2 linked regions of the Saccharomyces cerevisiae S288C genome follow. The protein of the gene in region 1 interacts with the protein of each later gene in a biochemical or structural test. Each region holds a gene or a part of one and is shown on either strand. Other genes may lie near its edges. The genes, in order: YAH1 and ISD11.

Region 1 (2,985 bases):
AGATACTTTGCTTGTTTGGATTTTTTCTTATAAAGTTCAAACCTGGACTTATTGAGATCTCGAAACTTGATGGTTTTGATTTCTCTTTCGCACTCAATCAATTGAGTCCTGAGAGTATGTCTTTGGAACCTTATTTTGTCTTGGCGGTCTTTTAAGTCCTTAATTTTGCTCATGTTGATGTTTAATGATGCAGATCGAGATACAGATGGGAAGGAATCCTTTACGGGTGGAAGAGCCAATGAACTCTTCATAGACGAAGGTCTAGAGCCATTCATGGTGTTTGTCGTGTTTGTGATATCCATAAGGTTTCGAGATTTTGATGAGGACACATTATCGGGATTGTGAAAGATTCTATTCTTTGAAAGAAAAGCGTGTTTGTTTTGCTGTGACGCCATAAAGTACACTGGTCAGGAAATGGTGCTTTTGCGAGGAGAATGTGTGTGTATGTGTGTGTTGTTAGGGCATTTCATATTCTATATTCATTGTTTTTTTGTTTTTTTTGTTTTTTCAGTTCTTTGTTTACCTATTTTTTCTTTGCCGCAATTGCAAATATTATTAACTTAATTGCGATTATTGAGACTAAACAATAAAGACCTGGCAGTGGAGGCATGACAGAGGATATCGCGAAACGATTGTTTAAGAGTATATTATAAAGTTGACTTGTTTCCTTATAATTATAATTATAAATATATATATATAGATTATTCACAGGAGAAATTGGGGGCACAAATGAGGGGTAAAAATGCAGACATTAACTAAAATCGTTGTTATTAACGTTTCTTGTCATCTGGGGCAGAGCGACTCTAATCCCATCGATATCTTTTGACATCTTAATCTGGCACCCAAGCCTGCTTGTCTCTGTTAGCCCGTAAGCAAGATCGAGCATATCGTTTTCATCATCTTCAGGTTCCGGCAGGGCATCGTAGTAGTCTGGATCAACGATGACGTGACAGGTGGAGCAGGCACAAGAACCGCCGCATGCGCCCTCCATGTCCAGGTTGTGACCTTGAGCGATGTCCAGGATGGTTTCGCCCTCACAGACTTCGTACGTCTTCTGGGAGCCATCCTTCAGAATAAAAGTTATCTTCAGTTCTTCGCCTGGTTTCGGTTTTTTCAAATGGCCATGGTTTAAGAACGAAGACGTAGAGAAGGGCAGAAATCTTGTGGTTGTGGTGGTGCGTGTGAGCAGAGATGGAGAGGTGCGTAAAAGATGTGCTGCGATGTTCGATATTCTAGCTGTGTGTCCAGCCCGAGTAACAATTTTCAGCATTGGGGGCGGGTTGAGTATAGATACGAGAAGCGCCTATTTCGTATGAGGTTTTTTTTTTCTATTATTATGTATATTAGGCATATATATACATATATATATTTTGCATACATATTCATTTTTAAAAAAATGCAACTGCTACACGCTTTGAAAGATTCAATGAAAAGTTTTTCCGACGACCAGAATTGGCTAGCAAAAAAACGAAAATGTAATGGAGTCATGCAAACATGACTAATAGTAACAAAAAAAAAAGATATAGTAGAATTGAGTAAGTAAGTTCTATGTATATTGTTGTTATTTTCTCTAAAAAAAAAAAAAAACTATGTAAAATTAGGAATTAAGAATATGCTTGGAAGGAATGCCGATTTAAAATGTGTAGGATATGCGATGCAAGGGGTCGTGAGAACAAGTAGAGATGTGGTAAAATGCGTCATACCGATGACAACCACAGTCTGTAGTTCTGTTGTGCGACATTGGCAAAGGCATCGTTACTTGCAAAGGCAAACCCAGAGGCAGAGTTAGATTCCTTACTAGCAGCAGCAACTGCACTGGCGGCGTTGCCGTTAAATTCCATATCGAACATGCAATCGTCTTCAGTACTCGTTATTATGTTGCTGTCCGTCTTATCTTTAGTGTGCGTGCATTCTGACTCATCGACAATCGGGTACGATAGCGGAAAAGTTAGCAATTCTTGCTGGTAAGATTGAGAAAAGTCATCGGCATAAGTCGATCTGTCCGGGCTATGCGAGAGCATAGGGGGCTCGAAAGCAACGTTTGAAAACGAAAGAGGGAAGACCTCGTCTTCATAGCGCGAGATGGGGGAAGATTCCACAGAGGACATTGTAAATAATTGTAATTGTATATTATTGTGTGTAAGTTTGGTTGGTTTGGTGTAGCCAATTTAGTTTGGTTTTCTCAAGAATAAAACAAGTAAGAAAGAAAGAGAGTTGCTCCAGACCCTTTCCGAAATCAAGATGAGTCCTGTTCTTATATATACCTTTTTACGCAGAGCCGCTTCTTTATGCACCGTGGAGTAATTACCGAATTGCAAAACCACCCGGGTGTGGATGTGGATGCAAAATAACAGTGAAATGAGTAATAACAATGGTCATAAACATGTGGTGTGCAATGTGTCATCTTCGCGCGCGTGCTAAAAAAAACGAATAACGGTGGTGATCCCGCGGCTTTCCACACTGACGGGGTCACGTGTGTTTATTCTGTTTTCTTCTAACGGCTTCTGTAGATTTCCGGACGGTTCCACGCAGCGCCACAGCTTGGTTCCAGATCGACGGAAGAGAACGTGCAACCCTTTGGGCTGGTTATGAAACAACGCAGATGGAGAATATGGCTCACAACCCCAAGGGACTTCTTGGTTTGGTTTTGTTTACAGTTTTTTGCTTGGCAAAGGTGCCATCGTTTGTCATGATAGCATGACGGTAGCAGGCATCATTGATTTTGCAACTGTTGCGGACCAGGACAGTGGGTATGGTGTAACTTCTGTAACACACCCACAAATGTGGTTGAGTCTCTAATGGAGATGAGTGAGTGGGCGAGCCAGGATAGGGTCTTTGGCATGTGCGGTGCTTACCCGGAAGGGAGATGCGCACGTGACTGTTGAAAAAGGGAAAAGCAGAGGTAATGAATGACGAAGTCGGTTCATTGCATGTGCTGTTACACTTCTTAAATAGATATCGATTAAGAATTACTATAATGATTTG
Region 2 (2,796 bases), on another chromosome or scaffold:
CGTGTTGTAAACGGAAGAGAACGGCTTCCAAGTGATGACTTGATTAATATATAAGCGAATTTTTTTTTTTTTTCACTTTTACCTAAGAAGTTTATCCGATGGAATGGTCCGAAAAAAGAAGATGCAACTATTACGCACATAAAGTAGGTGTAAGATCGCCCGATACAAACAATAAATAAGCAAATACTCATTTTATTGCATACTTCGGAAACTTTATGCCTGATGTAAAAGAATCCAAGCAATTCATAGGATCTCTCATTGCATCAGCTTGTTATCATACCGTAAAGACATCTCACCTCAGAGTGGGCTTATGTTTTAGTTATAGCGTTTTATATACAAGCTATAAACTCTCCTCTTATAGTCCCATGTGGGTTGAAGAAAAGAAAAGAAAAGAAAAATCTTCTACCAAAAAAGAAATGCTATTGATATTAAGGAAGTAAATTACATGATCTAATTGAAGTCCAACCATGCAAAGTATCGGTCGAAAATTAGGAATATCATCTAATAATATCTTTTCCAAATTAAAGGCGGCCACCTCTCTATAAGATATAACCATACGAATTTCCTGACGTGAGAAGGAAAAAATTACTGGAAAGTTCTTTCTTACATGCAATGACCAGTTAGGCCAGGTTTTAGTGTTTTCTTCCTTGCAATGGTTCTACGACCAGCCTGTCAAATGTGTACATCTGAGAAATAACAGACTGTCTTTTCAAGACACCTAAGTCGTTCTTAGCTTCCTTAAATAGGTTCATTAACACTTTTGGGTCTTGCTGATTCATGTTCTTTCTGAAAGTAGTCCTTGTTTTACTTAAAAAGTATTCCCTGAAGTTGTAATTATTGAATTGATTAGCATTCTTGATGAATTCCTTGTATAAAGACAACACCTGCCTTCTTGTTGGAGCTGTAAATCCAGGCATTTCTCTTCTTTCAAAAGGTGATTCCAAGTTCCCTATACTGCAGATAAAAATGGGAATAAAACTGCTATCCAAACTTCACTTGTTACCTTAGGCTCCGTAAAGTTACTGTGTAATTATATCAATTCCTCAATCATTTTTCTCCGCCGCTTATAAATGAATGAGAATAAATAGACTGCTATTACCCGGAAAGCGGGTGTTTCTCCAATAAATGCATTGTTTAATAATAAGTGGGTAATACAATATTGTTTGGATTTGATGGAAATAGCTATTGCTTTATCTACTTTACTGTGGACATTTGGGAACTAAAAAAACCTCTTTAACCAATATATTCAGCATATATTATGTAAAAATGAATAAAAAAGGTCCTACCCGGATTCGAACCGGGGTTGTCCGGATCAAAACCGAAAGTGATAACCACTACACTATAGGACCAGTACAACTGTAAATTGTTGTATCTCAAAATGAGATACGTCAGTATGACAATACGTCATCCTAAACGTTCATAAAACACAGATGAAACAACCTTATAACAAAACGAACAACATGAGATAAAACCCGGCCTTCCCTAGCTGAACTACCCAAACGTATAAATGCCTGAACAATTAGTTTAGATCCGAGATTCCGCGCTTCCACCACTTAATATGATTCATATTTTATATAATATATAAGATAAGTAACATTCCGTGAATTAATCTGATAAACTGTTTTGACAACTGGTTACTTCCCTAAGACTGTTTATATTAGGATTGTCAAGACACTCCGGTATTACTCGAGCCCGTAATACAACATAAATTTAGCCGTAAAAAAATCAACTAACCCTACAGTAAACTAAACGTAGTACTTTGACACCGATAAACAGGTGAAATATTGAAAAATCGGCAAAAAAATACATAATTATTAGCACTTTACTGTTATTGAACATTATGATATCAGGTATACAAGATATTAGGTATACAAGGTATACCTGAGAAACTGGTGAATAATTCGATAATTGTTGGCATTCCATTGTTGGGAGAGGCTATTATATCATGTATACAGAATATAGTAGAAGTTCTCCCCAAGAATATAGGAATCCTCAAAATGAAATCGATATCTCTACATAGTGATACAACGATTATTCCTCATTCCGTTTCATATGTTTCATTATCCTATTAGATTACATTTCAACTTTCACTAGATTTTAATACTTATAACACATTTTTAAGCAGCATGTGATAATATTCAGGTAACATTAATAATACTAAGCAGATGACATTGGAATTTCGTTACAACAATACCTCTAATATTGCTTCTGCCGAAATCAAATTATGATAAGAACCAATCATCATCCATCGTCTAATATTGTAAACTAGTATACCATCATATACGGTATAAGAAGATAATATAAATTGAGAGACAGCCATCAAAAATTGATGGAAACTGAAATGTAATCTAATAGGATAATGAAAGACAAAGTATAACGGGAAGGAAGATAAAGTAACACCATCGATTCTCTTTTGTGAATTCCTATAACGTCGGGAGAATTGCTTGTATACTATGTATACCTAATGTTATAGGATTCGGCAACAATGCAATCCGAACAATTATCAAATTACTCGCCAGTTTCTCAGGTATATATATTATCCTGAATGTTCTCTCCCAGGAGTATGGACCCTTAAAAGGCAAATCAATAATCTTAATATAATGTTTTAATTGTTTTTCTTTTTCTACGTTTCTGAAAATTACGATTAATCCATTCTATTAAATTGTCAACTCTGCGTTATTCCTTCACCAAATTTGAATACGAATCAGACAATTCTAAAATTACGTCATATTTTAACAACACATATCATAATATTCCACCAAAAGTCGCTTTTGATTAATAAATGATACAGTATTT

Evidence for each region.
Region 2: the proteins of YAH1 (region 1) and ISD11 form a complex in vitro, tested with the Saccharomyces cerevisiae proteins (one study listed by BioGRID).

What each region holds. Positions count from the first base shown.
Region 1 is NC_001148.4:72,612-75,596, forward strand, and holds YAH1 (adrenodoxin), read right to left. Parts: upstream 1,271-2,985; coding exon 752-1,270; downstream 1-751. Other genes in the region: VIK1 (Vik1p), read right to left, coding at 1-395; ATG41 (Atg41p), read right to left, coding at 1,698-2,108. UniProt on the Saccharomyces cerevisiae protein: Iron-sulfur protein that transfers electrons in a wide variety of metabolic reactions. Involved in heme A biosynthesis and in iron-sulfur cluster assembly.
Region 2 is NC_001137.3:248,839-251,634, reverse strand, and holds ISD11 (Isd11p), read right to left. Parts: upstream 918-2,796; coding exon 633-917; downstream 1-632.